Saccharomyces cerevisiae S288C: one gene and its partner. The protein of the gene in region 1 purifies or fractionates together with the protein of each later gene. This does not show direct contact. Each region holds a gene or a part of one and is shown in the gene's direction. Other genes may lie near its edges.

The links. Proteins that work in one complex are often made in the same cells at the same time.
Region 2: the proteins of HSP78 (region 1) and PRX1 purify together in Saccharomyces cerevisiae (affinity purification with mass spectrometry; 3 studies listed by BioGRID, with this or other methods). This does not show direct contact.

What each region holds. Positions count from the first base shown.
Region 1 is NC_001136.10:969,446-975,899, reverse strand, and holds HSP78 (chaperone ATPase HSP78), read left to right. Parts: upstream 1-1,656; coding exon 1,657-4,092; downstream 4,093-6,454. Other genes in the region: YAP6 (Yap6p), read left to right, coding at 118-1,269; RKM4 (ribosomal lysine N-methyltransferase), read left to right, coding at 4,426-5,910; CTA1 (catalase A), read left to right, coding at 6,220-6,454. UniProt on the Saccharomyces cerevisiae protein: Required, in concert with mitochondrial Hsp70 (SSC1), for the dissociation, resolubilization and refolding of aggregates of damaged proteins in the mitochondrial matrix after heat stress.
Region 2 is NC_001134.8:99,871-103,672, reverse strand, and holds PRX1 (thioredoxin peroxidase PRX1), read left to right. Parts: upstream 1-2,516; coding exon 2,517-3,302; downstream 3,303-3,802. Other genes in the region: KIP1 (Kip1p), read right to left, coding at 1-1,787; SEF1 (Sef1p), read left to right, coding at 3,558-3,802. UniProt on the Saccharomyces cerevisiae protein: Thiol-specific peroxidase that catalyzes the reduction of hydrogen peroxide and organic hydroperoxides to water and alcohols, respectively.

The sequences.
Region 1 (6,454 bases):
TCTTTCCTCAAACTGTAACACCGAGTTTTTTTCCCCACCAATCGTGAATCCGATAGCATATACTTTTGTCTAGAAATTTCAATAAACAACAGAATAACGAAGAGTGCTAAGGGACAAATGCAAAACCCTCCGTTGATTCGTCCCGATATGTATAATCAGGGAAGCAGCTCAATGGCTACTTATAATGCCTCTGAGAAGAATCTAAATGAGCATCCTTCTCCGCAAATTGCACAGCCCAGCACGTCCCAAAAGTTACCTTATAGAATAAATCCTACAACCACTAATGGGGACACCGACATATCTGTTAACAGCAATCCTATCCAGCCTCCTTTGCCAAACTTGATGCATCTATCTGGTCCGTCTGACTATAGATCGATGCATCAAAGTCCTATACATCCATCTTATATCATCCCTCCGCATTCAAATGAAAGAAAACAATCAGCTTCTTACAACAGACCTCAAAATGCTCATGTTAGTATTCAACCTTCCGTGGTATTCCCCCCTAAAAGTTATTCCATATCTTATGCACCTTATCAAATAAATCCCCCTTTACCAAATGGACTTCCGAACCAGAGCATATCTTTGAATAAGGAGTATATTGCAGAGGAGCAACTATCAACCCTCCCATCTCGCAATACCAGTGTTACTACTGCACCTCCTTCTTTTCAAAACAGTGCTGATACCGCTAAAAATTCAGCTGATAATAATGATAATAATGATAATGTAACCAAACCTGTTCCTGATAAAGACACCCAACTCATAAGTAGTTCAGGCAAAACTTTAAGAAATACTAGAAGAGCTGCTCAAAATAGAACCGCTCAAAAGGCATTTAGACAAAGGAAAGAAAAATACATCAAGAATCTCGAACAAAAATCAAAGATATTTGACGATTTACTAGCAGAAAATAATAACTTCAAATCATTAAACGATTCATTAAGAAATGACAACAACATTTTAATAGCTCAGCATGAAGCTATAAGGAATGCAATTACTATGTTAAGAAGTGAGTATGATGTCTTATGTAACGAAAACAACATGTTGAAGAATGAGAATAGTATAATAAAAAATGAACACAACATGTCAAGAAATGAAAATGAAAACCTAAAACTTGAGAATAAACGCTTCCACGCTGAATATATACGAATGATCGAGGATATTGAAAATACTAAAAGAAAGGAACAAGAACAACGAGATGAAATAGAGCAACTAAAAAAAAAAATAAGATCCCTGGAGGAAATAGTAGGGAGACACTCGGATAGTGCCACGTAATACAATAAATAGGGAGCAGATATTGATCTCTAGTACTGGAAGATCAACTTTTTGCTTTGGCCTTATAGGTCATATAAATTTTAATAATTAATGTAACAGACAAATCAAGGTGTGATTCTGTTCTGATAAAATTTGTTATTTTCCAGAATGTTCTAGAAGTGTTCTTTCATCTAATGGCATCGCGTTTGAATAGGGGGTGCACGGACTTTTTTTTTTGAATAAACCCCTGTGATTCATTGTATCTAAGCTCATCAAACCCCCTAGTTACTGACTCACGCACACACATATATATACATATATATGCATATGTAAGCATGAAAAGTTTGACTTCTATTATCTATTCCAGGAACCCTGAAACAAGCGAGTGAAAATCTTTCAAGGTTAAATATGTTAAGACAAGCTACAAAAGCACCAATACAAAAATATTTACAGAGAACGCAACTATTAAGGCGAAGTACTCCACGAATATACACTATTGTACAGTGTAAAAGATCTATTTGCAGTTTTAATGCAAGACCTCGAGTAGCCAATAAACTTCTATCAGATATAAAAACAAATGCATTAAATGAAGTCGCTATTTCAACCTGCGCCCTCAAGAGCTCATATGGATTGCCCAATTTCAAAAGAACGTACGTCCAAATGAGGATGGATCCCAATCAGCAACCGGAAAAGCCAGCTTTAGAACAATTTGGTACAAACTTGACAAAATTAGCGCGCGACGGTAAATTAGACCCTGTCATTGGCAGAGACGAAGAAATCGCAAGAGCTATTCAAATTTTATCAAGAAGAACAAAAAATAATCCATGTTTGATCGGTCGAGCTGGTGTCGGTAAAACCGCCCTTATTGATGGGTTAGCTCAAAGAATTGTTGCTGGGGAGGTCCCTGACTCGTTGAAAGATAAAGATCTAGTAGCTTTGGATTTGGGATCTTTGATTGCTGGCGCCAAATATAGAGGTGAATTCGAAGAACGTTTAAAAAAGGTTTTAGAAGAAATTGACAAGGCCAATGGTAAGGTTATTGTTTTCATTGATGAAGTTCATATGCTGCTTGGCTTAGGTAAAACTGATGGTAGTATGGATGCTTCTAACATCTTAAAGCCAAAACTGGCCCGTGGGCTACGTTGTATCTCTGCAACCACTCTTGATGAATTCAAAATCATTGAAAAAGATCCGGCTTTATCGAGAAGGTTTCAGCCTATCTTATTGAATGAGCCGAGCGTCTCCGATACGATTTCTATACTAAGAGGTTTAAAAGAAAGGTACGAGGTTCATCATGGTGTAAGGATCACTGATACAGCTTTAGTGTCTGCTGCAGTTCTTTCAAATCGTTATATAACAGACAGGTTTCTACCTGATAAAGCCATTGATCTAGTTGACGAAGCTTGTGCTGTACTACGTTTACAACATGAATCCAAACCGGATGAAATACAGAAACTGGATCGTGCTATTATGAAAATACAAATAGAACTGGAATCTTTAAAGAAAGAGACCGACCCTGTTTCCGTGGAAAGAAGAGAAGCGTTGGAAAAGGACCTAGAAATGAAAAATGATGAATTAAACAGATTAACAAAAATATGGGACGCTGAAAGAGCTGAAATTGAATCTATCAAAAATGCTAAGGCAAATTTGGAACAAGCAAGAATTGAGTTGGAAAAGTGTCAGAGAGAGGGTGATTACACTAAAGCATCCGAGTTGCGATATTCCAGAATTCCTGACTTGGAGAAGAAGGTAGCTTTAAGCGAGAAGAGTAAGGACGGAGATAAAGTAAATTTACTTCATGATTCAGTTACTTCTGACGATATTTCTAAGGTTGTTGCCAAAATGACTGGTATTCCTACAGAAACGGTGATGAAAGGCGACAAGGACCGCCTACTGTATATGGAAAATTCTTTAAAAGAAAGAGTCGTTGGCCAAGACGAGGCCATTGCTGCTATTTCTGATGCTGTACGTCTTCAAAGGGCTGGTTTGACCAGTGAAAAGAGACCTATTGCCAGCTTTATGTTCTTAGGTCCTACTGGTACTGGTAAAACAGAATTGACCAAGGCTTTAGCTGAATTCCTATTTGATGACGAATCAAATGTGATTCGTTTTGACATGTCAGAATTTCAAGAGAAGCATACTGTCTCTCGTTTAATCGGTGCACCTCCAGGTTACGTCTTAAGCGAATCTGGTGGCCAATTAACTGAGGCTGTCAGAAGAAAGCCTTATGCTGTCGTTTTATTTGATGAATTTGAAAAAGCGCACCCCGATGTTTCCAAACTACTGTTGCAAGTGTTGGATGAAGGTAAGCTGACCGATTCCCTAGGCCATCATGTTGATTTCCGTAACACGATCATTGTGATGACCTCAAACATTGGACAAGATATTTTATTAAACGACACAAAGTTGGGTGATGATGGTAAGATTGACACCGCAACCAAGAATAAAGTTATCGAAGCAATGAAAAGATCCTATCCACCTGAGTTCATCAATCGTATTGATGATATTCTAGTTTTCAATAGGCTATCCAAGAAAGTTTTGAGGTCAATTGTTGATATTAGAATTGCAGAAATTCAAGATCGTTTGGCCGAAAAAAGAATGAAAATTGATTTAACTGATGAAGCGAAGGATTGGCTAACTGACAAAGGCTACGATCAATTATATGGTGCAAGGCCATTGAATAGATTAATTCATAGACAGATTTTGAACTCCATGGCAACTTTCTTATTAAAAGGTCAAATTAGAAACGGCGAAACTGTTAGAGTGGTGGTTAAAGATACTAAGCTTGTCGTGCTACCAAATCATGAAGAAGGCGAAGTTGTTGAAGAGGAAGCTGAAAAGTAACTGCACAAGCGGTTTATGAATAATAAATTCCCAAGAAAATACATATATAAACATACACATTTCTCTTTTGTAAATAGAAGAATTAAAATAAAAGATTTTTGGTATCAAATAAACTGGATGAATGTTACATGTACCAAGTGCCCTGGCAATACAATAAAGCTATTGGTCTGGAAGTATTGATATTATTCAAATGTAATCTTCGAGAGTTACTGCGGGTAATACACACATGTGTCACATATTTTTCTCTCGAGTATGAAAAAATTTCATTACCTTTGTAAAAGCTTAATACGATCATTTCAATATGACTAGTAATAAAGGGGAAAGTTTGCGAAAATGGATGATTTTTCAAGAGATACCGAAAACTTTGTTTGCTGGTTAAAAACTACCGCTGAAATTGAAGTATCCCCTAAGATAGAAATCAAAGATCTTTGTTGTGATAATCAAGGCCGCGCAGTAGTTGCCACTCAAAAGATTAAGAAGGATGAAACATTGTTTAAAATACCTCGTAGTTCTGTTTTAAGCGTTACAACATCTCAACTGATAAAGGATTATCCTTCTCTCAAGGATAAGTTCCTGAACGAAACCGGATCGTGGGAAGGTTTAATTATCTGTATACTTTATGAGATGGAAGTTTTGCAAGAAAGAAGCCGATGGGCGCCTTACTTTAAAGTTTGGAACAAACCAAGCGATATGAACGCGTTAATTTTTTGGGATGATAATGAACTGCAACTTTTAAAACCATCACTTGTCCTTGAAAGAATAGGAAAAAAGGAAGCCAAAGAGATGCATGAAAGAATTATTAAATCAATCAAACAAATTGGTGGAGAATTTTCACGTGTAGCGACGTCCTTCGAGTTTGATAATTTTGCCTATATTGCAAGCATTATATTGAGTTACTCCTTTGATTTGGAAATGCAAGATAGTAGTGTAAATGAAAATGAAGAAGAAGAAACCAGTGAAGAAGAACTTGAAAATGAGCGCTACTTGAAATCGATGATTCCACTTGCTGATATGTTGAATGCAGATACCAGTAAATGCAACGCTAATTTAACTTACGACTCTAACTGTTTAAAGATGGTTGCTTTGAGGGATATTGAAAAGAATGAACAAGTGTACAACATATACGGAGAACATCCAAATTCGGAACTACTAAGAAGATATGGGTATGTTGAATGGGACGGTTCGAAGTATGATTTTGGAGAAGTGTTACTTGAAAATATTGTCGAGGCGTTAAAAGAGACTTTTGAGACGAATACTGAATTTTTGGACAGGTGTATTGATATCTTACGCAATAACGCCAATATTCAAGAATTCTTAGAAGGTGAAGAAATAGTACTAGATTCATATGATTGTTATAATAATGGTGAATTGTTGCCTCAACTAATACTTTTGGTCCAAATCTTGACAATTCTTTGCCAAATTCCAGGTTTATGCAAACTGGACATAAAAGCAATGGAAAGGCAAGTGGAGAGAATTGTAAAGAAGTGTTTACAATTGATAGAAGGTGCCCGCGCCACTACAAACTGTAGTGCCACATGGAAACGTTGTATTATGAAGCGTCTAGCCGATTACCCCATAAAAAAGTGCGTTTCTATCGAAAAACCTTCGAAAGGAAACTCATTAACAAGGGAAGAACTAAGAGATGTTATGGCTCGGAGAGTTTTGAAAAGCGAAATAGATTCGCTGCAAGTTTGTGAAGAAACCATCGACAAGAATTACAAGGTTATTCCTGATGAAAAGCTGCTAACTAATATTTTAAAGAGAAAGTTGACAGAGGAAGAAAAAAGCTCTGTCAAACGTCCTTGCGTGAAGAAGTGAGCGGTTGTTCTAACCACTATTTAAAGCCGCAATTAGTAATGCAAAAAGTTGGCCGGAATTAGCCGCGCAAGTTGGTGGGGTCCCTTAATCCGAAAAAGGACGGCTTTAACAAATATAAACTCCGAAAATCCCCACAGTGACAGAATTGGAGAAACAACCAGTTTTGATATCGCCATACATATAAAGAGATGTAGAAAGCATTCTTCACTGTAATGTCCAAATCGTACATTTGAATTTCTTGTAGGTTTATTTAAAAGGTAAGTTAAATAAATATAATAGTACTTACAAATAAATTTGGAACCCTAGAAGATGTCGAAATTGGGACAAGAAAAAAATGAAGTAAATTACTCTGATGTAAGAGAGGATAGAGTTGTGACAAACTCCACTGGTAATCCAATCAATGAACCATTTGTCACCCAACGTATTGGGGAACATGGCCCTTTGCTTTTGCAAGATTATAACTTAATTGATTCTTTGGCTCATTTCAACAGGGAAAATATTCCTCAAAGGAATCCACATGCTCATGGTTCTGGTGCCTTCGGCT
Region 2 (3,802 bases), on another chromosome or scaffold:
CTGGTTAGTTCTTCGGTGACGCCTTTGATAACTTCGGAACATTTAGAGTTATAATTATTTAAAGAGCCCTGTAAAGTGTTCAAAGTCTGTAAAACTTGTTGAGAGATTTTTAATTGCATGTTCTGGTTCGTATTATACTGTTTTTGAGAATTTTCTAGTGAAAAATCTCTCTGTTGTATGACTTCATTCATTAGTTCGAGATTAGTATGGTGAATTTTTTGGATTTCCGAGTAAAAGTTAGAAAAATCGACATTAAAATTCTGTATTATGGCAATTAGTTTTTCCTTTTCAGACTGTAAAAGATTATTGATATCTAATTGGTTCAGGTAGTTTTCTTTGAATTTTTTAATTTGTTCTCGCAGGTTATGTATTTTTAGATTTTGCTCATCAATCAAGATAGAATTGCTCTCGTAAAGGTCCAACTGATCTTGAGTTATAAATATACCTTGTTTGTTTCTTGAATTTTTCAAATCATTTCTTAATTTTTCAATCTCTTGAATGTAGTCTTTGAGACATGTATCCTTCGATAAAGACTGATTTACTTGTGGAGTATTCTTAATTGATTTGGCTCTCGTTGCATATTCTAGCGTACTTGCAGTCTCTTCCATGGATATTTTCGCAGGTGATATAGTTGCGATAATGCATGTTTTCGTCATACCACCTAAAGAGTCTTGTAGCAATCTTGTTAGCTTAGATTCTCTGTAAGGTATATGGTTAGAATGATCAACGAGTGCGTTGATAACACGGCCTAGTGTTAGCAGCGATTTGTTTATTAGGCCAGCTTCTTGAGCCCTTTTATTCTCCGCACCCGATCTGTTGATGTTTTCACTGCCTGCCAAATCCACCAAATTCAATTTGCCAATTTTAACAAAATTTTTGTTTTGTCCATGGTCTTTGCTATCTTGCTCAACTATGTTTGTTGTGATTGTAAAGACGGTGTGAGACCTTGATGAAAGATCGTTGCATTTAGTAGCGGCCACTTTCCTTTTTAACGAACCCTGCATTAGCAAATTCAAGCCTTCGTGTGCAGAGTTAATAAAGATTTCCTGCATCCCCTTGACCATGATGGATGAATTATTGTTGTTATTGTCAAAAATACGAATCTGCCTCTTGGGATCGTTGACTGCAGGATCATCGTCCTCACTATCAGAGAGCAGATCTTTCAAATTTTCATTGTACAACTCTAAAAAGGATATTTTTACGGAGTACTCTTTATTTAAGGAGCTCAATTCTTTAAACAAATCGACCAGAACCCGTGGTATGATACCTGCATGCTCTCCTAATAATAGATTATCGGTAGATTGCACATCACCGAGAATATTTATATCGCCAGACATAGTGTAGGTTTTACCTGTTCCCGTTTGACCGTATGCAAATATTGTACAATTGTACCCGTGCAACATTTCCTTAATGTAGTTTTTTGCAGTGGCATTAAACACTGTTTCCTGGTCAGATTCTGCGCCGAACACCTGATCAAATTGGTAAGTTTTCTTCGAGGACGAATACGATTGGTGAGAACCGTTGGACAGAATGATTTCTTTCCCTTGTGGGCCTAGTGTAGATATAACTACACTACTTTTTTCCTCTATTTCTCGCTTATTACGCGATCTGCACCTTACATATACATGTATATTGGAGTCTGAAGTGGCAGCACCATTGTTACAGGTGGGCGGCGTTAGAGTGTGCATCCCATTTGAAAGACTTGGAGATGGAGCATGTGCAATGGTCCTCCTCTTGTTCGCTTCGAACTGGGCGGTGCGGCGGTTGGGCAAGGAAGAACGAGCCATGATTGTTTAACTATCTCGCCATATTTAGTGAGGGAAGCGCGAACTGTCGTTGATTGTTTATGTGTTTATTTTATGTTTATCGTTCTTAGAGGGTGGCGCGCACTGTGCGCGCATATGTGGGCCATACGCAGACATATATAAAGAACTAAGAAAAGGTGAAATGGGACTCTACGATGGCGCTAATGGTAAGGTCTCTTTTCTATTTGCCTAATTCAGATACAATATATAATTGCCAACCTCAAAGAAGAAGAATTATGGGCATATTGACCTTCTCCGGTTTCCCTCCCGCGCTCTCGTATCCGTCTGCATTTGACCTCGAGCAAGCGCTCCACTATGTCTATATGTTTACCAGTAAAACTTCTTAACGTTTGTGATATTTTTTGAACTTCAACCACATTCAGTATGCGTGTGTATATAAAGATATTCCTGATAGCACTATGTTTATCTTTATACAATATACAAAAGGTCACCCAGGACGAGCAGCGCGGCTATTTTTCTATCATTCCGTGAATAGCGACCAACGGTCGGCGGCTATTTTTTTTTTTGCAATTTTTTCGGGATGGGTTCCCCGGCAAAAGCTAGCCCCGGAGATTTTTAATTACGTAAAGAAACAAGGGGCCGGATGTTGCTGCTATTGGTATATAAAGAGAGAAGGAGAGATATAGAAAATTGTGCTTCTAGATTCTCGCAGTAGGATGAGATAAATTTCAAAGAAGCAGGAAGCAAAGGATGTTTAGTAGAATTTGTAGCGCTCAATTAAAGAGGACGGCATGGACCCTTCCTAAGCAGGCTCACTTGCAATCACAGACGATTAAAACATTTGCCACAGCACCTATTCTGTGCAAACAATTCAAACAAAGTGATCAACCAAGACTAAGAATAAACTCTGATGCTCCTAACTTTGATGCTGACACAACGGTTGGTAAAATCAATTTTTACGACTACTTGGGCGACTCTTGGGGGGTCTTGTTTTCTCACCCAGCAGATTTCACCCCTGTCTGCACCACCGAAGTCAGCGCATTCGCCAAATTGAAGCCGGAATTCGACAAGAGAAATGTTAAATTGATCGGGCTTTCAGTGGAAGATGTTGAGTCCCACGAAAAATGGATTCAAGACATCAAGGAAATAGCAAAGGTTAAAAATGTTGGTTTCCCAATAATTGGTGACACTTTTAGAAACGTGGCATTCCTATATGATATGGTAGATGCCGAAGGATTCAAAAATATCAATGATGGGTCACTGAAGACCGTGAGGTCTGTTTTCGTCATCGATCCCAAGAAGAAGATTAGACTGATTTTTACCTACCCTTCCACCGTCGGAAGAAACACTTCTGAAGTGTTAAGGGTAATCGACGCCTTGCAATTGACTGACAAGGAGGGCGTAGTAACTCCAATTAATTGGCAGCCAGCTGACGATGTCATTATTCCTCCCTCTGTCTCCAATGATGAGGCGAAGGCTAAATTTGGTCAATTTAATGAAATTAAACCCTATTTAAGATTCACCAAGTCGAAATAAGCTTTGAAATAAACGACTTTACTATATACAGGTATATGAAGTATCTCTAACTAAAACTTTTATCTATCTTTCATTCTTATTATATCTCATCTCGTACGAAGGGCCGCTCATTGGATCATTTTTCTTTACATACCGTAAAGGAATGGCGTTAAAAATATATATATGAAAATGCATGTAATAAACTCTCTGCAGAAACCTTAATGTCAAAGGTCCCGTATACAGATTATATTGGCTCTGCGTATACGCATTCTCGTCATGGTGAAGGATAATCGAGATTCTGACCAAGACCAAGATTTTAGTTCTGCTCACATGAAAAGACAACCGGAGCAGCAACAGTTGCAACAGCACCAGTTCCCAAGTAAGAAACAACGAATATCTCACCATGATGACAGTCATCAAATCAACCATAGACCAGTTACCTCATGTACACATTGTAGACAGCACAAAATCAAATGCGATGCTAGTCAAAATTTCCCTCATCCTTGCTCCAGATGCGAAAA